4 linked regions of the Kluyveromyces lactis genome follow. The protein of the gene in region 3 purifies or fractionates together with the protein of the main gene of each other region. This does not show direct contact. Links are inferred from orthologs where the notes say so. Each region holds a gene or a part of one and is shown on either strand. Other genes may lie near its edges.

Region 1 (7,749 bases), on a different chromosome or scaffold from region 3:
GAAATTTTGGGTTAGGGCATGGCCGATGTATGGGTTAACTCAGTGAATAAGGGAGGAGAAGCCTCATCATTTGCACGAGGTGGCATGTTTTTAAAAATTAAGCAAGTGCCATCATATATCATCTCTCCAATCTTATCACTATATAAGTAGTTCAGTTCCAGCTGGCGTTCTTTGTTTCCTTTAGCAGCTTTACCCGACATTTCGTAAAACCAATTCTGACACTATCAACAAGCTTCCCAGCAGAGCAATCAATTACTCATCAAAATGTTTATTAGACTACTACGAGCTGGAAAAGAGCACGCAACAACAGCTAGAAGAGTTGTATATGCTTCGGGACACCATGTCGGTGAATCGTGGACGAAATCAGAAACAAGGAGATTGGCTCCAAATTTGATCACTTATGCGTTGTTCATTGGAACAATGGTCACTTGGCCTTATTGGGTCAAAGAATATTCTTATGTAACGCATGGTAAGCCAAACTGGTCGCCATAATCTGTTAAGACGAAGGCTGTATGAATTTCTCATTCCTTCGTCAAACAAAATACTGCATTTGCTATGGTAAAAACCCTTTAATTTTCCAATACTGACTCTACTAGTTTGCTATGTTGCATGGAGTTAAAATCCGTTTGCGTTCAATACTGATACCCTTCGCGCTCAAGACTTTTTTTTTCCTTTCTCTTAAAAGTCATTATACCTCTTTATTAGTTATCTGGCACCTCATACTTAGCTAGCTCATCTTTGTTATCTATTTATACTATCAATAAAATTTAACTGGCAAGCATTACTTAGCGGATATCATTAGTTTTTATTAAAATGAAAGCATTGATATTTAATTTATCTTATTATTTTTGATGAGGTTAAGTTTTCAAATATATTCTTTATCTACTGTGGTCTAGCCTTTGGTCCCCAGTTTTTGGTAGGATTTTCTTGGTATCTTACAATTTTTAGCTTCCTTAGCTTTTCAAACCTACCACTGTATTCATTAGGTTCGAAGGATATCTTTTTATCCCAGTCTTCAGTTTGTCCGATGGTATCATTGGTCAAAATCTTGTACCCGTTTCCATTCTTATTCATCTTCTCTATATTGACAAGATTGTTATCTATGCAATACTTCTTCATCACATACCAAATGGCATCCCAGCTGGCATCGGTCTTCAAACTTGATGCCTTTGCATGTGTCAAAGAACATTCAAACCCTAGCGATCCTAGTCCTGCGACAACTGCCTTTAAAGTTGGCACTTGGAATTTCAAGACTGAGGACACCGAGTTTGGTGTGAAATAGAAAGGAGCAGCTATCTCATTCTTGGCTAAAGTCAACATACCTTCGATTCTCTTTCTCGTACCATAAATATCATCCTTATGTTCTTCTTTATTAATTCTCAATACACGATCAATGAATTTTTTGTTATGCAATGGACCGCCGTACATTGGCCCAACGATGTGATGGACGCTCCCGCAGTATGAACAATTCCTATCAACTGGTGGACCTTGTGCCAAGGAGAATTTGGTGAATTTGACCCCCTTCTTAGTTGTCCTTTCTTGTTGTCTGCCTAGAGGCTGTGTGTGGTAAGCATTACAGCCAGAACACATATATCCGACCATGGTATTCGACTGCAAGTTTTTGACTTCAATTGGGCTTGTTTTGACTCTAATGAAAACTCTGACGTAGAAATCGATACTTAACGAAAGAAGTGGTTCAATAGTCTTTTTATACTTTGCAGCTGATTGTCCTAAAAGGTTTAAAACTAGCCTCAATGCACTTTCATGAGTAGCATCGTGACCTGCCATATTAACACCACTGTACAATGCAAAACATTTTTCGGGGTATCCGTTACCAGCCAAGACCGATAGATCTGTACATGTAACCAGCATCAATCCACCATCTTCGATGGATTGCATTGATGCATCGACGAAAGGAGTAACGGTACCATATGGATCCAAATCAATTACATGGTATTTCTCATTTTTGCTTTTGTTTCTGTACATCAGCACATTTGCATCATCCAAATTGGGTACAACTTTATCCGAGACCTCATTATAGATGACATTTCTCTTTATGGATTCCACTGCCTCTGGTAGTAAATCGTTGGCTACAATAGTCTTCACATTAGGAACCTCCTTAGAATATCTTATAGCACGTAGCCCGGTTGCACTCAATGCTTCCAAAATTTTGATGTACGGCCTGGTAGAATGATCTTTTGAAGACACAGCTACAGAGTCTTGATCTTCGTTTAATTTACGCCTTTTGATAGTATCGTAATCGGAACCATCTTCATTGCTCTCTATGGGTTTCCTTTTCTTGTTCTTGCTCTTCAGTTCACGGCTTTCACGTTGTTCCTCTTGATACAGTTCATCCCATGCTTTGATACAAGTGACACTCAAATCTCTATTGAACTGCTGGATTGGATTATAGAACACAGTTTCCTTGTTAGGAAATAATATCTTAGCATCACCCTCTTGCACCACCTTGAACTGAGAAACATCGATCGTTGAGCTATCCAACGTTACTTTTCTGCCAAATTTTGACTTCAAACTTTGAAAGGCAGCCCTGAGCATATTGCAAGTTTAAATTCTTACTTTTCTTTATATGGTTTTGCTTTCCCTCCTAAAACAAACCAGCTGAAAACGCTTACTTGGCCTTTGACACACACCTCAGCGATTATTTACTAGGCCTGAGGATCAAGCTATATATCTTATCTTAAGTTGATTTCTGCGAGAAGAGATGTGATGAGATGCGATGCCCATGACTGAAAAAATTGAAAAGTTGGAAACTAGGCTGTAAAGATGTAAAAAGTATGGGAATCTATGTCACGTGATTTAATCTTTCTATTGTTTATTTGGCACGTACGATTAAGTACCTCAAGACGAAATGCATATGGTACACATGGTTCAGTATCGATATTAATCGAGGATATGATGACTAGTTCGAAGCAGACTATTAGCTGTTACTACTTCTATCTACTTTTTTTTAGCTTTCATTACTGTTCTCTTGGTGGAAGTAATATCATTATGCTTATAGTGAAATTTGTGCGTTTGCATTAAGATTTATTACCACTAATGATTCAAGAAAATAAGAACCATCAAATGAAAGAATTCACAAAACTCTAAGAGGCAAACAAGCGCGGGTATGCCACCAAAAGGTTGGAGAAAGGATTCTGAAGGAAATTATCCTAATACGTCTTATATAAAAGAACAAGAAAAGATCAGTATTGATGATTTACTATTTCCTAAAAGCATAATCACATCTCTAGCGAAGGAATCACTTCAGAACGCGTTTCAAAAGGGCGAAGAAGAGAGAAGAATCACGGTTAGTAAGGATGCTGCATTGGCAATGCAGAGGTCAGCGACAGTCTTTGTCAATCACTTATTAATGTTTGCTAGAATGAACGCAAAGGATTCTAATAGAAAGAGTTGTAATGATCAGGATATCATGGCTGCTTTAGATACGTTGGGGCTAGGTGCTTTGGAGAGCATACTCACGGGAAAGATGCAGGAGTACCAGGAAGCCATACTTTGGAAGAAGCAAAATAAAGTCAATAATGCTGTGCCTGGTGCGGACGGAGACATAGCAATGGAAGATGATGAAGATGATGAAGATGACGATGGCAGAGAAGGCGCAGATGCTGACGCCGAGCCTAAATCCAGAGCTGATACTGAGGTTCAACAAGGTAACGCTGAAAATGATAAATTAGATGGGCCTCCAGTCAACCAAGAACAAGTACCTAGCACGCGCCAGAACGACCTGGATTTAAGCACAAAAAAACAGAAGACGGAATGATCGTATAATCGATTTGTGGAGAAGAGGTGGCAAGAAGTATAAGTACTATAAACAATTATACCGTTTTCGTGTGCTCATGGGTTACCTATACTTAAAAAAAATAGAACTAATGTAGTAATAATAACGACACAATCACAATAATCGCCAGTACAACTATAATGACAATGGAATAAAACTTAACGTTATTCCACCACATTTTTCTCATAATCTTAGAGGATTTCCTTTGAAATTTAAAACTATTTTCGTTCAATTGATTAGTATTATCCACAAGCAGGGATATCCTTTCCTGTCTCTGTAAAAACTTATCGATATTATCATTCATTATTGCAATAATGTTTTGTAGCTCTTCCTCAGTGGATGCAGCTGTCTGCTGTCCTTCCGTGCGATAAGATAATAATTCTTCATGGAATTTGTCCAATTGATTATCGATATTACTCTTCAAATATTCATCGTTGTCATTATTCAAACATTTTAGTTCTGATAATAACCTCAACGGTAGGAATTTGGGGACTTCTTCTTTAACAAAACAAATGAGCACTTTATTGTTCTCTGCAGTTGTATAATAGCAATCATACCCCTCTATAAGGTCGATAGACGTCTTTGTAACTTTGTTTCCCGGAAGATTCACCACTGTTCGTATTACCATATCGCCGATTAACCTGTGAAACACTGCTTTTTGATCGGCTCTCCCTTTATCAGTGCTTCCATATTTACTATTGTTTTCGTCCTTGGAGTCGTACCAGCTAGAAAGAACTCGATCTCCATCCCAAACTTCAACATATGACACACTATACCGCTTCATTGTTGTAATAATTCACCACTACTAACAGGCAATTAATCCTGAGAGTCCTTTCACAGTTTCCTTGCAACCCTTCTACCAGATGTAGCTGGTAAACATGGAAATTTGTCAGTTTTCATATTTTCAACATTCTCCAAAGGATATCATAACAGAATCAGAACCGAGACAAAATCTCTACCTCCGGCAGAAAGAAGAAAAAATGTCAGCTGAAGCCTACGGTATAGTTGTGATAACTTAATAGTCTTCTCATTTTTGATTGAAGCTGCTGATACCTAATTCACTTTTGAAGTACAGAATTATTCATATTTATATCTATTTGACATGTCTATAAATCTATCAAAGATAATGTCGATAATGACATATTCCAATGACAAATATGTATGCGTAAGTTCCTTTGTGATATTAGTATAATTGAACTATACTTACCCTCGATAACTTATGGTACAAAGGTTGGAATTTGTACGCAGGACTTAGAATCTTCTGGCCATTTGAGATACCCACTTTCCAAAAGTTCATCCAGAGTTTTGGCCTTTGTACCGGTAGCTTTGTAATAAGCGACATATCCTTCTTTTATAGCGTTGATGGCTGACCTAGCTCTAATCTGATCTCCTTTCCATTCAACACCAAAATAACCACCATTACCAGCATGTCTAATCTCACGATTTAATCGTTGAGAGTATTGGACGTCCCATGGGAATGCCAAATCATGATACTTACTTCCATCGCCACTTTTCTCGATGAACCAATCATGGTACTTCTGTTGAAGTTCCTCCGATGGAAGTTGGATTCTTCCTGACCATACTCTGCTCAACCAAGCACCTTGGGTCTCGGATAGTCTTGTAGGAAGAACAAACCTTGGTAGGCCAATAATACCGAATGTTGGCAATGATATTGGAAGAATATGGTTGTACAGGTTTTGTACTCGTCTACCATCACCAATTAAGTTGTTGAGAATGGAATTTCCGACACCAGATTCATTCTGTGGTAAAAATGGTAGGGACTTTAAGTAACCAGTACAGAAAATCACTTTTTCCACATTCTTTAATTCGGTGCCGTCAACGAAGGTAATCGATTTTGTTGACGGATTAAACTCTCTAATATCAGGCACATCTTTAATGAAAGGATCGAATGGGGCCGGTAATTTGGATTCGGATCTCTTCGACTTATAAATAGGCTTCTGTAGTTCGTTAGCCAATTCAAATGCTAAGTCTGCACCAGAAGCACTGTTACCAACAATCAAAATCTCCCCTTCTACACCATGGAAATCTTCTGGACAGTCAAAATCCTTGGCATGGGAAACGGAGCATGGGTATTTCACGTTCCATTCTTTTAAACCTGGTCTTGAAGGAATAAATGGTAGATCATAAAATCCAGTAGCAACGGCAACGGCATCGAACTTCTCCTCTGTAATTTCCTTACTGAGAAGGTTCTGAGCTTTGACAGAATATTCAGCTGTTGCGTCTTCGTAAGAAACTTTCACAATTTCTGAGTTGAAAGTAACATATTTTTCAATGGGTTTGGAATATTTCATAATATAATCAAGCACTTGTTCTCTCACAGGGAATAATGGGGTGTCTGTTGGAAATCTGTGACCTTTGTACTCCATCAATGTCTTAGGAACATTGGTATCTAGATATTTATAAACTGCTGTTTGGAACACATGTGTTTCTTCAGGGTGTGGTTGAGGTTGAATTCTAATGTGAGGGTATTCACAAGGAACAGACGGCGACGATGTGACATTAGAGTCCTTCAGTAAAGGTTTTGTATAGTTCCATAGACCACCAAAATTGGATCTCTTCTCAAAAACTTTGACAGATTCGAAATGTTTCTCATTCAGCAAGGCTTTTGTTAAACCTGATCCAACTGGACCAGCTCCGATGACTGCAACGCGGCGAATTTTATCAGGATTCACTTTTATTAATCTAATTTGAGTAGGTCTCATTTTTTATAGTGATTGCGCGCCCTCGTAACAGACTTTCGTAAATCCAGTGTTAATCTTTGGAAGGTTGACAATTTCTCAGCTGCCTGGTCAGAAATTGTATTTAATTGGCTTGTAGCCTATGTATTGTAAGTGCCACTTTTTTTAAAACTGGATACTGCGATCTGAAAGGATGAGTTTGGCAGTTAATTATAATGTTAGGAAACTTTCGAAATCTGTCTCCGATATATCGATATAGGGGAGTTCCTTGATTGAAGCTGCTAGATTTATCTCATCCCAATCTCTTGTTATATACGTTTATGCTCTTTAGACCATCATGTTTTTTCATTCGATGAACGGACTTTGGCTGAATCAAGTAGTTTAAAAATCCGTTGTGGCTTTATCACGTGACTAAAATCACTGCATATAGACACCGTGAACCAACTCACTGCTAGAACTGTGTGGGGTGTGTGTTGAAGCTTTAGAAGATGGTGTTATCTGATCAATATCTAGATGAGATCTTAGAGATACTGTAGTTATCATGTGATGGTTTTTGTGGACATGAGGGACCTACTGTGTCTTATTAATCCATAAAAGATCGTAAGTTCCTAATACATTGGGTACTAAAGTCATAGCATCATTATTAATTGATAAGTTGCTCGAGTACATCTCGAATAGGAAAGTGAAGTGGTGGGAAGAATAAATATCTATGTCTATATCTATATATGCATATATGGTTGTATAATGGTATCGGTGATAGGAAGGTAAATGCTTTTTTTTGTTGTTTTTTTTTTGTTTATCTATGTTGCATATTATCAGCTCGAGTTCATGCAAATCTACAGTCACACCAACCTTTCACCACGTATTGAATCTCCTTGGAATTAGCGTTTTTTCCAAGGGAAATTCTGCCACATGGTTTGAACATAGTTGGTTGTGACATTTCTGGTTGTGACCAAGGTTTCACCTCGGAGTTCAATCTCACGAGTGACGTAGTTTCCTTTGTATTTTCATCTTCTTCGATATCTGATGAAGAAGAATCACGTACAGTTGTTGCCTTGACGAATTTCAAGTTTGCTGGTGCATGCTCACCGTGAAGATCTGTCCTCGTAACCTGGCACATGTCTGACCAAAGCTTCTTTCTTGTTATTAGTGCTAATTTGATTTGATGTGGTGATATCCTGTTGGATGGATCTGCTGGAATGTTCAACTGAGAAATTTCTTGGATTGAAAGCCGTTGTAGAATGGACTCATCTA
Region 2 (7,404 bases), on a different chromosome or scaffold from region 3:
TGAAGGTTTGAAGGGCTTACATGAATGTGGGACAACGGAAGGCACACCTGGGGCTCCCTTTCTTAGCGTGAGAGAGGATGATGCAATTTTGTGTCACGTGAATCATTTCTTTTTCTCATAGTTCCTACGTACCTGACTACAACAAAGTAAGGTTATCATTCCAAAAAGATGACAGCTTTTTCAGTTTGTGATTTCTCGAAATGATTACTACGAGTCATATCAGATGCCATAAGACATCTGCTTGAAAGGAAAGTGCACATTCTGATGTCATGCCTTCTGCAATCGAATCATATTCTACACACAAAATATGTATCAATATCTGCAAGGAATATCTTGTATGTGGTTTTTGGATATATGTATTATCAAACTAAAATAACAAATTAAAACAATTCCTGCGGTTTGAAATAGGACTCTAAACATGACTGAAATTGATTTATTGTTGTGTATCGTCGTAATTTGAATTGAATGTCAACGGGAATTGTATAACTGCGTATTGATTCGCCAATCGTAATAAATAAGTGGACATTGTTTTACTTTTTCGTAAATACCTGCGTGATATTTGTTTTATCTATTCTGGCGCGATTTAGTTTATATAATATATGTTGGAATATTCATTTATAAATTATCATTAAAGAAACGTTCATTAAATAATATGAGTCTTTATGGGTTCGAATGGCAAAAGTGAGATTGCTCTTTTCATTCCTCTAAGAATTGAGTTGGTTCATGTGGGACATATACCTCACGGTATAGGTTATCGCGAGGAACATTGACAGTTCTACCATGGATTGTAGATAGATCTAGGTATTTTTCGGATAATTGGTCTATACTTGTGACACCGAGTAATCTCATCGACATTTCCAATTCGTCCTTTAATAGCTCAATGGCTTTCTTGACACCTTCTTTACCGTAGCAACTGTTAGAGTATAAGAATGGTCTACCTAGACCGACACCCTTGGCACCAAGACACAATGCCTTTAGGATATCGGTACCTCTTCTAACACCACCATCAATGAAAATTTCGATTTTATCATCCAATTTCTTTTCTCTTAGCACTGGCATAGTCTCAGCCAACACTTCGATAGGAGCCCTAGAGAAATCCAATTGTCTACCACCGTGGTTAGATAGAACGACACCTGCAACACCGATTTCAGCAGCTTTCAAGACATCTTCAACACATTGAACACCCTTGATGACGATTGGCAATTTGGTCTTTTTCTTAAATTCGATGATATCATCCCAGTTTAATGCAGGATCAATGAATGACGAGAGAGCTCTAGAAGCACCCTTAGATTCCTTAACCTTACTTTTTTCCATAGCCTTGGCACCGTTTGAGTTTGTAAATTTGACTTTAGCATCTTTTTCTCTGTTACCTAAGGAAGGAGCATCTACTGTAACGAAAATGGCCTTTAATCCTAATTTTTCAACGTTCTTGATTAGATCTTCAGTGATCTTACGGTCACTGTTCACATACAATTGGAACCATTGGATTTGTTCCTTAGATGGGGCTGCTTCCACGATTTCTTGTAAAGAACAAGAAGCCAAAGTGGAAATCATTTGAACAGGTTTCACGTCACTTTCACCGCAACCTCTTGCGATGTCCTTTTCACCTTCCTTGGGGTTACCTAGTTTACACAATGCGGTGGCAGACACATAAAATGGAACACCGACTTTTTCACCTAACATTGTAGTGGAAGTGTCAACTTCCTTAACGTTAACCAAGATTCTTGGCTTGAAGAATATACGATGGTATGCAGCGTGGTTTTCTCTATGTGTAACTTCATCATCAGCGGCAGAAGAGTAGTAAGACCAAGCTTGCTTAGTCAAGATTTGGGATGCCAAGAATTCGAAATCATAGATGTTAACCAAGGAATCAATATCGGGTAAAGATTGACGCAATTGTTCCTTTCTTGCCACATCTTCGGGAGTTTCACCTGGGGTCAATGCAGCACAGACCAAGTCATCAGGCATTGTACCATCTAGTGGACCAATTCTGTTCTCTGGAGCAATGTATTTTTCGATGACATCTGGAGCATGAATTGGAGCAAAGATCTTGGTCACATCTTTTCCTGCGTTGTTCTCAATGATAGCTGGACCACCAGGATGGGCGCTGATGAAATCAGTCAAATTGTATACGTAACCCTCAATGACCACCCAACAGTCTTTGGGAGAAGAGTGCTTTGCGACTTCTGTTGGAGAAACCTTTGGTTTCGTCATATCGACCTTGGCACCATTTTCAACGCTATCATTGAATTGAGAAATCAATGCAATACCAACCGAACCGGCAACAAGAAAGGCACCACCAGTGATGACTTTCTTACCGAACGAAAACGCACTATAGCCAGACTTAGCTGATCTCCCAAAACGCAGAGTAGCACTAGACTTATGAATTGGAGATTTACTACTGGTGCTAGCAAATCTCAACCCACTAACACGGTTCTTACCAAAAACTCTTACGGCTGATCTCATAGTAATGACGATGTTGATACCTAGGGGCTTTGTTTTCTGATTAAAGATTATACCAAACAAATTTAACCTCAACCGCACTATAACCAATTCCCAACTGCGACATAGCTCTACTTATATATATATATATATATATATATATGTTATCTATTGTCTATTACATCTGCATTAAACTCGAACTAGTCATTTTCGTCAACAGCAAATATCGGGCCAACTCTTCGCAAACTCCAGAAATGAATGCCTCTTTCTCTAGTGTGGGATAAAACGCTAAACAGTTTCCACATTCGTGGGTCACATTGAGTTGGAACAAGCGGATCTTCGGATTACCAAGGACGCTTGATCAGTAACAGTACCCCAAGGCTATTTTCATTGACGCACTGGACGTCAACCATACTGTAATTGGTATATATTTGGAATTATATCGGTATAAAAATTGCACGCAACCCACGCGCAATGAGGGAACCCCATTCTCATTCGGCTTTCTGGATGTTCTCTATGGGTCCTGTATTCCCTCAATGTAGGCAAAATTCACTACGCAGTTGCCAGCCGAACAGTTGGAGATCTAAGGTCAGATGGGTCAACAAACCTGCAATAGCGTAGGGAGTCGTAGCAGACGGTAGATAGAACAGTGAAGTGTTCCATAGCTTGACATAGAACACGGAAAACGGTAAAAAGGACGTCTCGAGAGGTTTGCGCATGCATAACGGCATTTTGAACTGAAAAAAAAATTGTAGCGTGGGGAGAAAGCAGACAGGGTGGGTCGGAGAACAGGAAACAGGGCCCGAACTATACCATCGATACGCTAACGATGAGCTTGAGAAAAGCGAGATTCGGAGTGACTTTTGGAGCTGCTGTTTACCTCCTGTATATTATGTGTTTGGGGGGGATAACGCTGTGAGTAAGTACTCCGAATTTAACAGGCAGATAACGTAATATCAGGTGAGCAGGCAATGGTCGGTCTTGGACCTTATGGTATCTTGGACAAAAGACAGCGTCCAGCAAGTAGACTCCGTGGCCAAGCTGGTTAAGGCGTGCGACTGTTAATCGCAAGATCGAGAGTTCAATCCTCTCCGGGGTCGTTTTTTTTGGAGAAAATTTCTTTCAAAATTGATCCGCTGCCCGTACTCAGCCAGATGATGATAGATAAATCAGACCCTAGTGGACAGGAAGGAACGAAAGGCTGATCAAAGGTGGCGGTCAAAACGCCGGTGAAACCTTACTATTACTTTATTTTGATTACTATTATGCTTAATACTCGTAGCAAGGGCTATATATGATCAGGCTGGCCATGTTTTGGCCTCTATTTCAAATCCGTCTACATAACTATACAGCACGAATTGGTTTTCTTTGCTTGCTTATAGAACATCCTCGATGCAGCAGATAGTGATTCGGACTTGTCTACCAAATTGTCCAATTTCTCACCTCTTTGTAATACGTTTTCAATGGTTTTGTGTAGCGTGATCTTGGTCTCGTCTAATTCTTGCTGTACACGCATTATTGCATCAGCTTGAGATGGGTCCTGATACTTGGCAATATAGATATCCAACTCCTTCAACTTGAGCGAATCGTCACTCTCCGTCACGTCCTTCCACTGGATAGGAGGGTGCGCTACCAAATACTCATCCAATACTTTGTTCAACAACGTATAAGCTGGTCTTACTGGGTACTCCTTATCCGTAATCAAAACACCACAAATTCCTTCAGGCCTTGCGTAAACGTGACCTACATAGTTACCTTCTTCAACACTCTGTCTTTGACCAGCACTTGTCCTGCCAGCAACAGTCTCACTGAAAAAGGACATGAACTGTGCAACACTGTTCCTTTCAAAGAACCCAAATTGTGATAAGTCCTTCACAGAACTTAATTCAAGGGTCTTATCATCGCTGTTTCTTAAAACTCCAATGTAATATATCTTCATCCTTGTATCCTGTATCCTGTTTTCTCCCACTTGTCAAATGAGAAAAAAAGCTACTATTTTGCCCAAACTTAACTATTCTTAGATCCCCTATACGTGTACTATAACACTGTCCTTCTCGTCTCCGTGTTATCTTCAAAATACATCATCATTTCCCATCCTCATATCACAATGCTTCAATATCCATTTTGTTTGATATTCGAATTTTTCTTTTTTTTGCTAACAAAGGCATTTTCAATTTGTCAAAGGAACATTTAAAAGAGAAGCTGATTGATACCCACAACGGGAGGAAAGAAATTTGCTTTTAGTTAGGTTTGGTATTTTTACAGTACACTTAGAAAACGTTTGAAAGTTGCTGACGAGTCAATTGATTATAGGCATATACATATTTTTTTGAAGACAATGTTCCGTGTTTCTTTACAAGCTACTAGACGTGTTGCTTTTAGATCCGCTAGACAAATTAGGTTTTACAGTGCTCATCCACCTTCCGGTGGAGTGAGCCATATGAACAAGCCAGCATTGTTGTTGGCTGGGTTCAGTACTCTTGGTGCCATCTACGTTGCTGATGGGTGTCCTACTTTGATTGAGAGGAAGCCTGCTCCTGCTGAGAAGCCTGCTGAAGAGACTCCTGCAGCGGGCCAATCACAATCTATTTCTGAACCTACGAAGGATGCCGATGAATCTCCGGTGTCTGCTCAGGAGGAAGGTGCTGAGCCAGTTACTACTCCTGAGAACGAGATTACTTATAGCGAGGAGACACACCAGGCCTTAGCAGCCACCTTATCAGGAGATGAGCCAGCTGCCATTGAGCCAGTTGCTGAATCCGTCAATGAACAAGCTACCGAACCAGCTGCCAGTGGAGAAGCCACCAATGAACCTGTTACTGGCATTTCCGAGGATACCAAAGCTCCCTCTTTGAGCTTCGATGACTCAAAAACTGCCAAGGGTGTTGTTTTAGAAGATGAAGCTGACAAAAAGGAGATTCAACAAACAAGCCCAGATGCCGTAAAAACCGCCTCAAAAGACGGTTCAGAAGGTGAATCGGATGTTGTTTTGCATGAAAAATCTCCTGCTGAAGCTGAGACCATAACAGAAGCAGAAGAGCAAGCTGAAATTCGGTCTATCTCCGGTGGCACTGCTGAACAGTCCGCTACTGCGGCTGCTGCGGCTGCAGGTGTTCAAGGTGAAAAAAAAAACGAACAACAAACTGCATACAACCCAGAAACTGGTGAAATCAACTGGGATTGTCCTTGTTTAGGTGGTATGGCATACGGTCCTTGCGGTGAAGAGTTTAAGTCCGCTTTTTCATGTTTTGTCTACTCTGAAGCTGATCCAAAGGGTATCAACTGTGTTGAGAAGTTCTCCACTATGCAAAATTGTTTCAGAAAATACCCAGACTATTATGCTGAACAAATCAAGGATGAAGAAGAAGCTTCTGCAGAAGCTTCAAAAATCGAGGATAAGAGCACTACCCCGGTTTCAACTGCCACCTCTACTGTTGAAGTACAAACTGAAAATGCCGTTTTCGAACCTGTCTTGGAAAAATATGTGGAAGAAAACCCTCAACTAAAGGATACTCCTGAAGCTGCCGCTGTCACGAACACTGACGATGAAAAGAAATAGAATCTTCCCGACCCTGAACTGCTGCCGTTAAAGATACTTTTTTAAATTTGCCAATGAGCATCATGAATTCTGACGTTTGAACAAAGATAATAAAACTAAAGCTAAAGAAATTAAAAAAATTACGTGGTTCCCTTGTTTGTGTTATATCCAATTCAAATAAAAGCCCATGGCTCTCGTAATGAACTGACCTGTTCATCGAACTCGCCTTCTTTGTCCAATAAAAAAAAAATTAACATACATTCTTATTACATTCTACAATTCCATTCGACATAATGGCAATGTGAAAACGAACAAAAATCCAATGAAATGTTCTGATAGCGTGTATAAACACTACATAAAGACATTTTCCTAATGATATGCCATGCTTATTCTGTTTTCAAATTAGATCCAGTAATTGGTAGAGAAAAATTGGCTCAAATCTTGATTCTGTTCTGTTTCTCCTTTGTAACCATAAAATATCTCCCATAAGGACTACATTTACTCTTTTATTGTTATATTTACTCACAGTGAATACCGGAGCTACCTTCTCTTTGCCAAATATATTAATTGAGGCAGTATCATTATCAGTTTTTCTGAAGGATAATCCATGATCATGACAAAAAGTTTCTACAACAGTTTTAAAGGTGGTAGAAATTTTGGTCATGGGTGTATTGTTAAAAGCGTTGAACCTGGATTCCGACTGGCCAGTGCTTTCAATTAAACTTTTCAAGGAAAGCCGTTCGTCATGGTCCGAAAGTGTTGACGGATGATCGACAAAGTCAAGAAGTTTCTTCACTTCTTCTACATTATCTAATGAAGATGCAGTGTAAATTCTATTAATCATGTATTTTAGCCATGAAGAAGCTTCATAACGGAAGGTGCTGCTCTTAAACACAAACCATTGGAATAAGGTCTTTAATAGCGAGTTGTTAATGACCTTATATACTTTATTCCTGGTTGGCAAATCGAAGAAATCATTATATTCTTTCAACACATCAATAATAGCTGAAATGTAAATTTCATTCTCTGCATCGGTAAATTCGTCAATCAGGTGAAAGTGTGAATCGAAGTAATCAGCGAAAGATGAAAGCCAATACCTGTTGACTAATTCATAAAACTTGGAGTCACCCACTGCCTCCTTCAAGAGAATAACGTTTTGAGGGTTAACAGTCATTGAAGGTTCCCAATTTTTCAAAAACTGCTCGAACTCCAGCAGGATAAGTGCTTTTAATGACTTTAAATCCCTTTCTCCCAAAATGAGATGCAACTCGCCGTATGTCACCATGAATTCATCTGACAGAAATTGAGGAGAAAGTTGTATTTCGAGAGCCGGCATAATGTAGCGGGAAAGGAAGTGTTCCCTGCAGCTAATAAAGTCAATAATAGGTAAATACTGAACGGTTATTTGACGTAGCATCCTCGAA
Region 3 (8,065 bases):
CCAAAAGGTATCTTAACAGGAAGATAGTTCTTCTTCTCATATAGAAATCAACTAATAGTTAACTCTCAATGCTAAGATTTACCAAAATGATGCTGTTAAATCGACGCATATCCGGGTAAATTATTGTCGTATTCAATGACAAACATTTCTAATGAATATCTGTCACCGGACAGCGGACAGCGACTCAGCTTGTTTGGACGGAATGTATAATATGGGTTAAATGTGTAGCTAATGAGAATACATGATTTACAGAAGAATTAGATGTGCATGTTGCGGACAGTATCGATTTCCGATGTTAACGAACTTGAAAGAATATGCGATGGTAAGAATTAAAGATATGGAAAAGTAACAAGGGAAACCAAAGAAAAAAGTGCATCTTATTGACGAAGCATAATACTTTGTCCTGTTTTTTCAGAGTAAAAGTGTGAATTAATTAAAAAAATTGACAGAAAACAACAGAGGAAACAAACATTACAGGCGAGTGAGTGTCTTTAATGTGTTGAAAAGAGTCAGACATTGTTGAGAATGAATGTTCAAAAAAGTCGATTGTAAACTGCAATTGAGAAGTGAATGTTCTTTTTTGAAGTGTTTATGGGACCTGTAAGGTTGACTAAACATGGTCACCTTGTGTCCGCACCCACAGAAACAAAGTAAAAAAAAAAATGGAAGGTAATTTGAAATGAAGTAGAGAATTAGAAAGGAATGAATGTAAGAAATATGATGAAGAAGGAAAAAAATATGCAGGTGTATCATACAGGCAGTCTATAGCAAAGGGGGAAAAATAATATCTGGATAAAAGGATGAGGATTGTTCCATCAAAAATACGTCTTGGAGAACTTGTAATCAATTTCTTGGAATCTAATCTTATCGAAATAATCCAAATCGTTAGAATCAGCCAAGAAATACCCAAAATAAGGTAGTAACTTGTTAGTTAGCGTGTAAACAAACTGATCCTTTTCCGAAACGACCGAATCTTTCTTTGAAGATGAAGAGGAGAACATGATGGGTGCCACCAATGCACGTTGCTGTTTTTTCTTCACTGGAGCCATGCACTGCAAGTCATTGTCCAAATCTTGCTCGTCTTCTTCCAGTAACACGTTGATACTTCTTGTAGAAGAGAAAACAGAACTGTGTCTTGTGTCAGCCAGTGAAGGTGGTGTAGAAGAAGAACAAATAATTCTCTGTTCATCTTCTTCTTCAAAACTCGTCTGTAAAAATTTCAAATTGTGAACGTGAATCAAATGGACAGGCTGAGTATGGATCATCGACGGCATATGGATGGACCTTGGCTGTAAATCGTGTCGACTGATAACATGCTTCTCATGAAAATCAAGGCTTACATCATCTTCGAGATCAGAAAGTGCCAATTCACCATGCCATTCCATGTTAACTCCACATTCTTGCAGGTCGTCCAGTTTCAAATAGCTAGAAATATCCAGCTCGCAGTGCATTGTATTGGGTAAAGTATATTAAGCTTCTATGGTAACCAGTTAGTATTTCACTATCAGTTTTTTTTTATGCACGGTAATGAGGCAACCGATAGAAAAAGAAAGACAGACAAGAATATGTCAAAAGCCTCAAAAACGATAGACCTATATATAAGCTTGGTAGATAGCATTCCACTTCAAACTGCATATACTAAAGTTAGATAAAACTAGATTTATCCTAAAATAATTCCCAAATTAACCCTAAATCATGTCATATCGTATCATGCCCAGTTACATCTAGATCCAGAAACAAGGTGGAAACAGGAGTAAAAACAATATTGAGACTGGGATAAACTAATAAAACTAATTAACTAGTTAATTATAATGCAAGAATTTACCAGATAGAACCGTAGCATGAAACAAGGGCGGTATTAACTGTAAAAAAAATAATTTTTTTTTCTGATCTGATTTGATTTAATTTGATTTGCAGTTTAGAGCCAAGATAAGACACGCGAAGTGAAATAAGCGCAGGATAAATTTTGATTTGAAGGGGACAAAAAGCAGCACAGTACTTAAGAGTGACATTTCAGGCGTTTCCGTATGCGGTAACGCAATATAATTAAGACATACCTATAGTATTAGGGAAAAGCACGCGCCTTCCCCGCTCATAAATCTCTGTATGGCGTAGCGGAACTTTACATTGTTTGAACAATTTTTTTATTCCGTTTAGTATAGAGCCTCACCCCTGGGAACATTCTCTACAGTAATGTGCATATTTCAGGGGGAGCTGATCTTACATTGAGACAAGACAAGACAAGATATCGACACAGAATAATAGCACTTTGTCTATTATTCTGTAGGTTGTTTGACTTGTTTGACTACCGTTAACAATTGCTTCCGTTTGACAAGAGACTGGTTTCGGGTTGTCACTGGGTTGAGACGGCACTGACACTTGGTTTTTGCTTTGATCGAGCAGACGTTAATACGGGCAGCACGGAACAATATTACTTTGCTTAGAGTTGTTAGTAGCTGTGAGTGATCTTCTGTTATGTTTTGTATTTGGTACGTCAATACTATATTCTTTCTTTTCGAAAAAAAAAGGGAAGACACATATATCATCTCTTTACCCAAAAGGGTAAAGAGTTGTTACAGTAGTCGTGTTTGAGCGGAGATCTTAAGGATCAAGCTCCCCCCTGGCATTACGGGGATTCGGAGATTACACTGGCGAATTCCATCTTTAACAGCGATATACATTCGTACAGAGTATTATCCTCCAATATTCCGTATACACTGTATTCTATTCTTTTCAATTACCCAAATATAAGGAAGTGTCCAATGGGGGAATCATCGCGATGTCATGAAGATGTGAATGGTAGATTCGGCACTCCAGGATGTTTCTATTCATTTTTTCTATATTTCCGGACTGTTTGGGTGTACGGGTGTAGTAATTTACCCTTACACCCTGTGTATTCTCAGAATTATTTGTATTTTTAGAATATTTCCCTTTTCGGATTTTCACATCCCAACTTTTTCTCTTTTTCTTACAGTTTAACAAAAAATCTACTATCCTCTTTTCGGTCTACGCTTGTTTTAGTGGACAGTGGATCTTTCATCCTCACAGTTTTTTCAATTCTGCAAACTTGACGAGTTTCAAACTCATTTACAATACCAACCAGTTTTCATCTTTAGCAAGTGATTAGAATTTAAAGATTGTATAGGTTGTTAACTACGTTTTATAGTTGTTCATATTCACTCTTATATACCCTCCAGAAACCAAGCAAACACAAAGAAACCAAAATGTATGATACCTAATGCACACCGCGCACAGTTATGGGGCCGAAGAACTCAGTGATCGATATAACAAGTTGAACTATGAACTATGATAGACTAGACGATGAGGATTGAAGAAGACGAAGAAGAAGCAGACTGATACGATACAGGCAGACTGACCTGTTCACTAGGAGATGGAATCAACATAGAAGAAGTGTAGTGACAAATGGGTAACTGGAATTATACCATAAGCACAAGAAACTACAGCTAGATGCAAAATTCCAGTGTGATGATTTATAGTGTCAGCTCCACACGCACGACAGCAGAATAAATGACGATCTATTAGACCTCCTCCCCCAAAAAAACTGTTGTTCCTTTAATTGCAACAATTTTACTAACTTTTATATCTGTGTTATTACCCATTCTACCTGTGGTATCGATTCATTACCACCCATTATGTGAACAAATTGAATCGAACTATTGGAATCGGACGTAATGAATACACAATTCATTTTATATTCAGGGCTAAAAGAACTAAGAAGGTTGGTATCACTGGTAAGTACGGTGTCCGTTACGGTTCCTCTTTGAGAAGACAAGTTAAGAAGTTGGAAGTTCAACAACACGCCACTTATAACTGTTCTTTCTGTGGTAAGACTTGTGTTAAGAGAGGTGCTGCTGGTGTCTGGTCTTGTTCTTCTTGTAACAGAACCATCGCTGGTGGTGCTTACACTTTGTCTACCGCCGCTGCCGCTACCGTCAGATCTACCATCAGAAGATTGAGAGACATGGCTGAAGCTTAAGCTTGTTGCATCGTATAATCATGTTATAAGTATCCTTCAATAAAACGTATCTTTCCACTTTGTGTTATTTTATATTCCATCTACCCTATATAACTGATTTAGGCGTGATGGTCGAGTGTTCATCCTCGCGTCCAGCCAAATACCTTGGACCGGCTCCCAGGCCAGCCTATTTGAAAGTCACGTGAATTAATTACCCGGCTGCTGATAGCCTTCCGTTGTTTCTCCCCTTAAGGAATTTCTTTACTTTCTGATGGTAATTAGAATATGTAACATGTAATGATGATACAATGTTGATAGTTTGATAGTAAAAGTTGTAAGCAAGCTCTTGGTTGACAAAAGTTAACAGCATTCAGCCATATCCCACTCAGGTTTTCTTTGAATATGTCGGATGTTAAAGAAATTATAGCTAAGGTACGTTTTTTCTCCATCATTTATGTTGAAAGGTCAAATCAATAAGTCTAGGAAAGTATGATGACAATGGTTGACCTTATTCTCGCCTGAACCCCTAATACTAACAATAAACATATGCAAACCCTAGCCATAATGTGATGAAAGAGGAAGTGATTTATCATTCGTATTCTCTCTTTTTCACTTAATGGTATGGAAACATATCTCATGTCATTTTTGTAATAGGCCGAAAAGAAGGCTAAACCATCATCAGGATTTTTCAGTTTCCTTAGCGGTTCAGACTCTTACCGTTACGAAGAAGCAGCAGATCTTTATATCGAGGCTGCAAACCTCTATAGGCTAAGAAAGGAGTTGGATCAAGCGGGTGATACTTTCTTGAGGGCAGCAGAGTGTCAAATACAGGCTTCTAATGAAGATGAAGCAGGAAATACGTATATCGAAGCCTACAAGTGTTTCAAGACAGGATCTTCTCCAGCACAAGCTGCTGAGTCCTTAGCCAAGTCGATAGATATTTTCACAAGAAGAGGTCAGTTTAGAAGAGGTGCCAACTTCAAATTCGAATTGGCTGAATTACAAGAACAGCAATTACAGGATTACCCAAGTGCCATTGCCAATTATGAAACAGCTGGTGATTGGTATTTGCAAGACCAAGCTATTGCTCTCTCGAATAAATCCTACATTAAATGCGCCGATTTGAAAGCTTTGAACGGTGATTATTTGGAAGCTACCGAGATCTTAAAGAAAGTCGTTGAAAATTCATTGGGGAATAAATTAAGCCAGTGGTCGCTCAAAGAGTACTTATTGAAGATTGGCCTATGTTACCTTGCTGCTGGTGATGTTGTAGCTGCAGATAAAAGTTTGAACGAATCACAATCGTTGGATCCATCATTCTCTCAATCAAGGGAGTTTGAGTTACTATCAAACGTAATTGAAGCTGTAAGGGAAGGTGATACTGAAAAATTATCGCAAAAGATCTACGAATATGATAGGTTCAATAAGTTAGACCATTGGAAAACAACTATACTCTTGAAGGTGAAAAATACAATCGTCGAGGCGGATGACGATCTACTATAAAATGGTAATATTCAACTCATTCTCTTGTAATTGTATTCTTTTCTCTAACACAACTGTCACTTTTTTGGTGGAATAATTATTTTATAAATGGTGTATACCCATTTGTACAACCACATCGAGTGGTTTGTTTCACGTTAACGTCTTTCATTTCCCATTATCAACTATATCGATGCAAATAAGCTTGCCATCTGGCTTGGACGTTTGGAAATTTTGAAGATGTTAATGGTAACGAAAATGTTTTTTAAGCTTCTGACGAACGGCTCCCTTACCGTTTTGAATAAATATACAATTAAGTAAGAAATGTATCACAATTTTTTACATCTTCTTACGGTAAGAAACAAACCTAATATTTCAGAATGCTGGTACAATTTTTAATGAATATGATGATACTTCCTCAGCAAATCTACTAGATGAGCCTACGCAAAAGGCAGTTGATTGATAATATCACTAGATGAATGAAAACACATCAACTGAGGGGTAACATGATCTCTAAAACGTTCAGATAAGAGGACCCTTTCGCATCTTTCCGTAAAAAAAGTATGCAAGTGTAAGAAAAGAAATCAAAAGAATGAAAACCTCAACAGATGCGTTTCCGTTCTTACTGGATCCTGGAGATTGCGGACTATTACTGATTATCCTGAGCATTCGACGAAATTCAATAAGGACATCTTTCATACAACCGGATTAATTTTGTAAACTACATGGTTTAATATTCATAACGGTATTCCGGAATAATAACCATTTTCAGCAAAATGGATGTGACACAATGCTAAAACGAAAGCGGCTGTTCTTAAATTACTCAAACGATGTGGCGAAGTGCCTGGGAGTCAGTAATGTTGGCATAGTCTTTCTTTTTTTAGAGTACCTAATGATTAAATTCCTTCTAGTATTATGGTTAGAGAAAAAGAAGTTCAATACAGCGGGACATCTTTCCACCAGAACACCAAGAACATGTGGTAACGCAGCATAGATGAGGTGTGAACACAGTATACAAGTAAAACTGATAGCACCTATGGAGCTTCAACAATAGAACCATGAGATGCCACACACCAAATCAAGATCTTAAACGGAGAGGCATAACATTTCTTAATTGGTTATTCCAAACTATATCGAGATGAAGTGTATCTTGATTATTAACTGAGAGTGATGAACATTAGACACAAGGATATATCGAACTATAGCCAGTTGTAAACGGGAAAACAATGCTCATTCTTGGGTCGGATGAACCTTTCATCCCGCTTTGCATCGAAACAACTTTAATTTGAATGGATGCTAGTACGTAAATTGGTCGGTCGAACGCCAACTCTCTATTGACACACGGCAGTGCCGTTTGAATAGCCTAAAAACAGCATAACATCCGTTCGAGATGCGTCAAATGCGCAGTAGATGTAGTCTTCCGTCCTCGAGCAGCATCTCAGTAGCAAAAAAAAAAGAAATGCGGATGAAAAACCAAAAATTTCAAAAAAAAAGAGGGTCGAAAATACAGGAGACGGAAGCGTCTAATTGTGCATACATGGAAATAATGCATGTTTTGTCAGTTCCGCAAATAGCGGATAAAAATAGTATGAACATTGTAGATATATATTGTAGATACAGGGGAGATTGACTGAGAACATCCCGTGAACGTAAGAAATGATAGCAAAGCTTTATACATTCTAGTTGACTACATTGATTAGGGTCCCTTTTGAGACTTTGTCAATTTTCGTTCTAGTTTGATCCGATAATTGTAATCATTTTATGTTTGCTCATTCAGCTCAACGCAAAAGCTCGATTTTAAAGCCAAAGTTACATCGAGGCTAGCTTGGCCCTGATGTAAGACATAATGTTTCCTCTCACGTTACAAATGAATTGTAAGAGCGACGTATTACTGCTTCGCTCATCCAATAGATACCCACAGCTTTTTCTTTTTTTTAACCTTCTTGAATCCTTTTTCTTTTTCAGAACGTTTGTATGTTTGTTTGACAGTTTCAGATAAAAAATGGCATCGGTATGCAGAAAGGTCAAAACTGGGTGTGATTTAAAGTAATCTAAGTAATCGAATTGGGTTAAAGATTCCAATTATGAATAAAAAAGGTTTCCAGCACACTGAGTTCTCTTACTTGTTCTACGTGAGTTATACTCCCTTAAAGCTCGAACAAATCAAAGTTTATGCTGTACCATGGATGCTACGGGGAGATGGCTTAATCCGGACTGTTCTGAGCCTGTTTGATTGATTATTAACATCTAAAAGCCAAGCCTTTATTTTTTAGTTTTATTCATGCATTCGAGAATTCAGTAAAAGGACATAAGATGGGTACGTTGATGTCTGCGAGACTAGGGTCTGCACACCCCCATTTTAATGGTATTTTTGCAATTGAATAAGTTTAATTGTAGTATGAAGAAAGGGCTAGAAGCTTTATCAAACTATTAAACTCTTGGCAGAGATGGGGTTTTCATATCTATTCGATGTTTTCTTTTTTCCTTTCTGTCAGATTCGCACCAGCGAAAGTAATAAACGTAGAAATAAGAACATTCGATACAATAGCAGAGTATCTATGATACGAGGCTAGTGGGGTTAAGGATGATATATCAGGTTACGATAGATCC
Region 4 (7,717 bases), on a different chromosome or scaffold from region 3:
TGGTACTGCGGTGATCCACTGCAAAAGCCTCCTCCACCAAAGAACCGTGCAAATGGGAGAAACAAGGATTGGAAACATATGTATGCTGAAGATATATTATCCTTGCCAGATAAGTGGGAATATCCATTCTTTGCTTCTTGGGACACCGCGTTTCATTGTATCCCATTAGCTATGATAGACCCTGAATTTGCAAAGAAACAATTGGATATTTTTACGAGAGAATGGTACATGCATCCTAACGGACAAATTCCTGCTTATGAATGGAATTTTAGTGATGTAAATCCTCCAGTTCATGCATGGGCTGTGTACCGTGTTTTCAAGATTGAAAGAAATATGTATGGCCGTGAGGATAGAGTGTTCTTGGAAAGAGTATTCCAAAAACTTTTGTTGAACTTCACATGGTGGGTTAACCGCAAAGATCATGACGGTAACAACGTCTTTGAAGGTGGATTTTTAGGATTGGATAATATTGGTATCTTCAATAGATCAGAACCTTTGCCAACAGGTGGAACATTGGAACAGGCAGACTCGACTGGTTGGATGGCATTCTTCTCATTGCAAATGTTAAATATCGCATTAGAACTTGCAAAGGAAAATCCTGTCTATGAAGACATTGCCACTAAGTTTTTCGAACACTTTTTGTACATCAGTGATTCTATGTCCTTCAAATTCGAAAAGAATAGTGCAGACAACTTCAAAGAGGAAGTCAAAGAAAGTTTGTGGAATGAAGAAGACCAATTCTATTACGATGCCATTTCTTGGGGTGAACCATTTAAGCAACAACTACCAATCAGGTCTCTCGTTGGTTTAATTCCATTGTATGCTTGTATGACTTTGGAACCGAGAATCTTAGATAAGTTCCCTGGCTTTAAGAAACGTATTGACTGGTTCCTTTCCAATAGAAGTGCCATGTTTGATAGAAATATTGCTTCTATGGAAAAAAGAGGTATCGGTGAGAGACTTCTATTAGCTCTTGTTAATGAAGATCGGTTAAAAGCCATCTTATCTAGGATGCTCGATGAAACTGAGTTCTTATCCGATTACGGTATAAGATCTCTATCTAAATACCATGAAACCCACCCATTCTCTATGTCCGTTAACGGTGAACAATACGAAGTCAAATATTTACCAGGTGAATCAAACTCAGGTATGTTTGGTGGTAACTCCAATTGGAGAGGGCCTGTTTGGTTCCCTACAAATTTCTTGCTTGTCGAGTCATTGCAAAGGTTTTTTTTGTACTATGGTCCTGACTTCAAAGTCGAGTGTCCAACGGGGTCTGGCGAGTTCCTAAACTTGGCCCAAGTGGCAGAAGAACTTCAGCATAGATTAATTCATTTATTCATCCCCGATGCCGAAGGCCAAAGAGCTGTATATCATGGTGAATACAGTGAGTTTTTGTCTAAGGATCCTAATTTCGAGGAACTAATTCCTTTCTATGAATATTTCGACGGTGATACTGGTAGGGGCTTGGGTGCAAGCCATCAGTGTGGCTGGACTGCGCTAGTGGCTAAATGGATTCATGACACAGGTTTATCATGTGTCAGGTTGCCTAGAACTCCTAGATCATCTGTCACTCTGTCCAATTTAGACAAAACTCAAGTCGATTCATTGTTAAACGAATTAAAGCCTAACATGCCACGTAAAATTGCAAGGCGTAAGAGTTCCAAGTCGTTAATTAACTTAACAGCTACGCAACTTGAGTTGACAGAAGAGGAGAAATATCTACATTGTATTGGTAGCACAAGACGTGAATCTGCAAAACTTGCTCAGCGCTCCGGAAGCATCATCAGTAGCGAAGAAGACGATGAAGAAGGTGTGACCTTCGAGAAACTGAAACAGAACCAGTTAGCCGAAGAAGAATCACGTCTAGTAAATGAATTAAGGAGGCGTCTATCTCATACCACTATCAATTCAGCTGATGAAGATGAATTAGAATGTCTTCCATGAACAGCGCTATGCTATTCTGACCGGCCTTTTTCCATCACTATTACTATCATTATCATTATTATTTTTATTATTATTATTTCTTATATCGTTCTTATTTTATATACAACTAGATAAGTATTCAAAATCAGATATCATTTATACACGGTAAATTGTATTCTTCTCATGAGAGTATAAAATTATACCACAAGGGTCAAAATTAAAATTATATAAATTCATTACTATAGCTATTCTGCTTAAACTTGCATTGAGACTGAACTAAAAGACGCAGAGAAATCGATTACTATTTGAATTTGGAGAATATCACTAACAAGATAAGTAGTATCAAAACCGCTATTATTGCGTAAGAAATGAACTTATTGGCTATGAGTCTTCTAGTCATGGTTTTCAAAGTGCGAATACTCTTGTCGACGTACGAATCAGCATGGAACAAAGTTTGTCTTGCATTCTCCAATGTTTCTCTTTGAGATCTCAAATCCATCATTATCTGTGCACCAACGTTCTCAGTCTCGGATGCCAGTCTTGTAGCATCCTGTAATTTATCACCAGAACGTTGTAAAAGCGCATGGTTCGATAAAAGCTGTTGCCTTTGTTCATCATTATCGAAGTGGCGACCTTCAAGTAACTTATTCCTATCGCTTTCTTGCACCAATTGCTTTAAAGGATCCTTAATTTCATTCTGACACTGTCTCTTATAATCTCTGATCTTTGCTTTATAAGATGCCCTTGTCTTAGAATCCAACGAGTTCCCTGTATTATTCAACTCTATTTCCATTTGATCCACTAATTCTAAAGATTCATCATGGTACTGTTGAATTTGTAAAAGTATATCCGATTTTCCACCTTTTAAAACAGCACCGGCATCATTCTTAGCATTAGCAAGCAAAACCTTCGCCTGGTTTATAGCGACTTGACATTCAGATTCATAGTTCTGCAATAATGAGGACATCCTGATAAAATAATATGGTTCAGAACCTTCCTTTTTATATTATCTCTTCCCGAATTTCACAACCTAAAGGAAATTTAAGGTTTGAATGTAAACTTGCAGGCCAATGTACGTCTGAAGTAGGCCCCGTTACCAGCTATAACAGCTTAATCACCAGGCCTGCTTTTCGTTGATTCCTAACATTAACTTGAACTCATGGGAGAAGCTTCAATAAAGGGAATAGAAAGAAAAAGAAAGAAAAATACATTGTTCACGTGACTTTGATTGAGTCATGTAAAGACCAGTATCTAGATAAGGGCAAACAATCATTTTGAACCACATCCGCCAAATCCGCGGAAGACCGAGGTGGAATCAGGCCCAGAAACGGTCTGTTTTTTTTGTCTTTGGTTTCATTTCATACCGGCGTTTTCATGAACACTGACAAATTGGGAAAAATCCGATGAGATTCAATAATTGAATGATTAACAATAAGCATTTGCCAATTTCGATGTGAACTGAAGGGAGAACTAGATATAAAGCAACCTTTTTTTGCCAAATAAAAGCTACTTAAGAATCAGAGTTGATAAAAGTTCAGGACAGCTTTTTTTCTCATTGTGGTATAGCAGACGGAAAGGGTCTTTGGTTTCCTTTTAGTAACACTTATCGTTGTTGTTTGTGAATTATTTTTAATCATCCATATCTATTTGGAAAAACTCCTGTATAATCAATGATCAGAGGAATATTGACTAGACAAGCTGGGCATCTGAACCAGTTAAGAGCCAGAAGCATTACTTCTCCTAGCATCTCTCACAACATATGGTTAGCCCGTACAAATTTGTCATGGAAGAGATACCATGGACATTTACATAAACCGAAACCGGGAGAAGAGTTGCATGTGACATTCATATTGAAGGATGGAACACAAAAGACTTTTGAAGTGGCAGAAGGGGACTCTCTCTTGGATATAGCTCAAGGCCATAATCTAGATATGGAGGGTGCCTGTGGTGGTTCTTGTGCTTGTTCGACCTGTCACGTGATTGTGGACCCAGACTATTACGACGCATTAGAAGAACCTGACGATGATGAAAATGATATGTTGGATTTGGCTTACGGGTTAACTGAGACAAGTAGATTGGGATGTTGCATTAAAATGAATAAGGATATCGATGGTATCAGAGTCGCTCTTCCTTCAATGACAAGAAATGTTTCATCTTCAGACTTCGAATAGAGAGAATGACTAAACTGAATTCAGTCATCATATGAAAAGAGACAGCTTTAGATCTTTCTTTTTTTCCCAACAGGGGAAGCATGACATGAGTGACACCAGTTGCATTACCTGTAAATAGGAGCAATCAACCAAGCTCGTTCGCAGTCCATTATCATTATTATTATTTATCATGCATCAGTAAAAGTTTCCCCACGCTGTGTACCGGTGCTATCTATGCACAATACATACATAGTTAAAGGTATTTTACTGTTACCCGGTTACCATATCGTCTTTCACATAAAGAAAAGATATATTTGTTGTCCACGTGACTTTCAAATGACATTTTACGTATTCATCGCTTTTTTTGTAAACATAAACAAATAGACTGTATGAGAAAAGCTTGAAACATCAACAGTTGTTCAGAACAGGTTTTGGGTTCGGTTTCAGGTGTGTCTCACCTGTGTATCACTGATTTCAAATTGGGCCGTGCGTTTGTTACTGTAACTACCGAGATAACGGGCGCCTTAATTTTCTTCTTTTTATTCAATTACCTGATTTTAAGGTAGGCATTATATTACGATTGCGGCGACAATCCTGATCAGAGCTTGTCAAGTCAATGCTATTGATGAACAGTGACCTTTTGTTATGAATGAGACTCGAATTCCATCTATAAATTCAAGAAAACGGCAGAAGCCGTTTTCTTCAGGTTCTGTGTCTGGACAGAAGAAGCATCATCCTGTGCTAGCAAATATAACGAATATGGTGACCACTACAGGAACAACGACAGTAGCTAACAGTAGCGGTTCGAAGAAGGAGCAATTTGCTCCTTCATATCAAACGAAGAGTCAAAGTACGAATATGAGACTATTGAACAAATATTTTTATGGGGATCCCAACGTTATTGAGGAGGTTAAGAAAAGAGAGAGAAAAGCTTTAAAAGATATTCACTTGTTTACTAAACAGATTGAGGAAACGGATTCTCGGTTGGAATCCCTTACTTCTGAGGTTATCCCGCAGCTCAAATACAATTTGAACAAAAGATCCATCATTTTCAAGCACTTGAAACAAGAGACCATGGTGATGCAGGAACAATTATATCAGTTGAAGAACGATTGTGAGCTAAAGAAGAAAAACCATGAGCTGATAACTAACAACTTGAATTTAGAGCATTCTATAAATATACAAGAAGTGATAAATCAATGGCAGCTGAAAATATCTGATAAAAGACACATCTGGGAACTTGAGTTACAAAAATTAAAACAAACTAAACCTGATCCGGCTGTCCTTAAAGAAATCGAAGAGTTAAGCACAGATAAAGCGATCATAGAGAATGATTTAAAAGATTTGAAACGTAAAAACCATGAACAAATTCAATCATATGAGAATGAATTAAAATTACGATTGGAAAAGTTCAAAGAAGATAAAAAGGAACCGCTGATAGCATCCATAGAAGAAAACAAAAAACTAAAGATTAAGATAAATGATCTGAAGGCAACTCAGGAAGCACTACGAGATAAAATTCGAAATAGTGTTGATACTGAACTTTCCTTACAAGAAATTATTAAAAATAAAAGATTGGAGCTACAAACGTTAGAAGCTTCATTGGAGCCGGTAGAGGAGAAACTTAACCAACTTCAATTGAGATATAAATCAGAGAAAGATACCACTGATGAAGTTAAAGCCAAAGCTAAATTAGCAGAAGCGGAATACAATAAAAATTATGATAGAATGGAACAAGAGCAATCGCAAAGAAGAATCCTGGAAAACACAATAGATGAGTTGGATGGTCACATTCGTTGTTTTGCATATCTTAATTACGACGAACTTAATGACTATGCAGTAGACTATATGAACAAATGTATTATCGGAGATACAGATGTGTTTTACTTTAGCAGAATTCTTCCGAGAGACTTAGTATCACCTTCAAACCTTTTCAATAATGAATGCTTCACCTTCGTCGATTCGTGCTTAAAGAGTAAGAAAAGTTGTAATATTATATCAATAAACGATGATTTGAGGAAAGATTTCCTACGAACGATAAATGAACGATTTTTGAAATCCAAAGTTCTTGTTCAGATGGTTGTATTGAACGACAGTGACCTTTCGAAGGATTTATTAAATTCTGAGGATTCTGATTTATCCGCTGTCATTGACGAAAAATGTATTGATTTCCATTCTAAAAGACTACCGATTGAAGAAGTGAATAATTTTATACTTCCCGATTTCAGAGGAATTCATGTTATGAAATTTGAAGTCTTCGATAAAGAAGATGATTTTGAAAGCATATTTTTCATCCAAGCACCTACTAAGGAAATTCAGAAAATGAATGCGATTGATATCACAAAGACGGCTGTCAGCCCAGTCTCGACCTTCTTGCAATCGTTATTATTAAGACTTGAATCCTTAATAATATTCAATTTTGATACACCAGATTCCTCATTATTACAATTATCACAAACTTTACATAAACTACCAAATCCGAAATAGTAGTCATATTCCCTGTCTATAAATTCTACAAAAAAATGAAAGCGTGGAAATTGTTCGATTAAATCAATCAGAAGAGTGACTTTTGGCTCCTTCAATTGAGAATATTCGCAATACTGTTAGTCATTATTTCTTTGTAAGAATATCTTTAATTAGCCAGTTAAGCTCTTCCCGGCTTCCCATATTCTTTTCGTCAAGGGGAGTGAAGTTAGGCTTTTCCCGTTTATAATGAAATAGATCATCGACAGGACTTTTGAAATGAACGATCTCATCGTCATTTACCAACCCATTTGTAGTTAATCCAAGGTATGCACCTGTTGGATCAACAACGTTGGGGAATATCGTGAACGAGTCCAAAGCGTCTTCATTTGTAATGGATACAGTTCTGTTACCAGTAATATCCTTCGCTTTATCACTCTCAGTCTTACTATTTGCTAACGCACTAGATGCTTGTTGGAACCCGTCATCGTTTAGGTCGTAGAAGTCCGAGTATTTCTTTTCTCTGTATCTTACTGTATCTATGGTGGATTCAATAATTGTCTTGAGATAATACTCTAATGCAAGTGATACGATATCAACACATCGCGAATCTATCTGTCCAACAATTCCATTTTCTCTTGCAATTCCTAGCATTCGAAGATAAAGAGACTCATTATCCGGTAAAACATATGACTCGGTAGAAAGTTGTGTTTTGAAACCATTCATGATCTTTTGGGACCATTCCTGTGGGCCCTTCAGATCTTGTTGCTGAATTCTCTTGGCAGTTTCCTGGTTGAAGACGCAAGGTAATTTCGGTATCTGTCTCAATCTAGCCTGTAGCACTGAACATAATACAAATCCTCGTTTTCCTGCTTCCTTTGTTATCATTTTTAATCGTTGTCTATCCGATAACGGTAGGGAAACAACAATTTTTTTGTATAATTCGATCTGCGAGTTGGGCTTGTTTGATCTTCTCTTATTCTGTTGTTGAGAACCGTTCTGGAACCCCCATTTCGATGATTGTGGATCATCGTCGGTGGTTTCTCTAAGAGAATTAGTGAATATCGATAGTAAAAGTTGGTTATGCAATCGTATTAAATCTCTTGGTTTAATATTCGGCTGTTCTTGGGTAGGTTTAAATAGTAAGTCTAATTCATTGACCAATTCCTTTCTGGACA

Evidence for each region.
Region 1: the proteins of SEC17 (region 3) and NYV1 purify together in Saccharomyces cerevisiae (affinity purification with western blotting; 4 studies listed by BioGRID, with this or other methods). This does not show direct contact. The link is inferred for Kluyveromyces lactis from reciprocal best matches to the Saccharomyces cerevisiae genes SEC17 and NYV1.
Region 2: the proteins of SEC17 (region 3) and YKT6 purify together in Saccharomyces cerevisiae (affinity purification with western blotting; 5 studies listed by BioGRID, with this or other methods). This does not show direct contact. The link is inferred for Kluyveromyces lactis from reciprocal best matches to the Saccharomyces cerevisiae genes SEC17 and YKT6.
Region 4: the proteins of SEC17 (region 3) and VTI1 purify together in Saccharomyces cerevisiae (affinity purification with western blotting; 5 studies listed by BioGRID, with this or other methods). This does not show direct contact. The link is inferred for Kluyveromyces lactis from reciprocal best matches to the Saccharomyces cerevisiae genes SEC17 and VTI1.

Annotation. Positions count from the first base shown.
Region 1 is NC_006042.1:1,795,687-1,803,435, forward strand, and holds NYV1 (Nyv1p), read right to left. Parts: upstream 4,581-7,749; coding exon 3,885-4,580; downstream 1-3,884. Other genes in the region: KLLA0_F19382g (uncharacterized protein), read left to right, coding at 265-492; TRM1 (tRNA (guanine26-N2)-dimethyltransferase), read right to left, coding at 883-2,556; DPB4 (DNA polymerase epsilon noncatalytic subunit), read left to right, coding at 3,128-3,778; KLLA0_F19470g (uncharacterized protein), read right to left, coding at 5,014-6,519; GIS3 (Gis3p), read right to left, coding at 7,322-7,749. UniProt on the Saccharomyces cerevisiae protein: Vacuolar v-SNARE required for docking. Only involved in homotypic vacuole fusion.
Region 2 is NC_006040.1:224,786-232,189, forward strand, and holds YKT6 (palmitoyltransferase YKT6), read right to left. Parts: upstream 4,382-7,404; coding exon 3,779-4,381; downstream 1-3,778. Other genes in the region: CYB2 (L-lactate dehydrogenase (cytochrome)), read right to left, coding at 697-2,466; MIA40 (Mia40p), read left to right, coding at 4,781-6,001; mRNA splicing protein SPP382, read right to left, coding at 6,378-7,404.
Region 3 is NC_006041.1:527,608-535,672, reverse strand, and holds SEC17 (alpha-soluble NSF attachment protein SEC17), read left to right. Parts: upstream 1-4,378; coding exon 4,379-4,408; intron 4,409-4,630; coding exon 4,631-5,479; downstream 5,480-8,065. Other genes in the region: transcription factor IME1, read right to left, coding at 816-1,451; RPL43B (60S ribosomal protein eL43), read left to right, coding at 3,225-3,226, 3,721-3,997. UniProt on the Saccharomyces cerevisiae protein: SNARE complex protein that binds to cis-SNARE complexes on membranes and is required for vesicular transport between the endoplasmic reticulum and the Golgi apparatus and for homotypic vacuole fusion.
Region 4 is NC_006038.1:897,970-905,686, forward strand, and holds VTI1 (v-SNARE protein VTI1), read right to left. Parts: upstream 2,894-7,717; coding exon 2,228-2,893; downstream 1-2,227. Other genes in the region: KLLA0_B10263g (uncharacterized protein), read left to right, coding at 1-1,947; YAH1 (adrenodoxin), read left to right, coding at 3,597-4,097; CIK1 (Cik1p), read left to right, coding at 4,722-6,563; HFI1 (Hfi1p), read right to left, coding at 6,687-7,717. UniProt on the Saccharomyces cerevisiae protein: t-SNARE found in various SNARE complexes involved in multiple transport pathways. The composition of the t-SNARE complexes is specific for a limited number of v-SNAREs and therefore allows only the vesicles carrying the matching v-SNARE to fuse.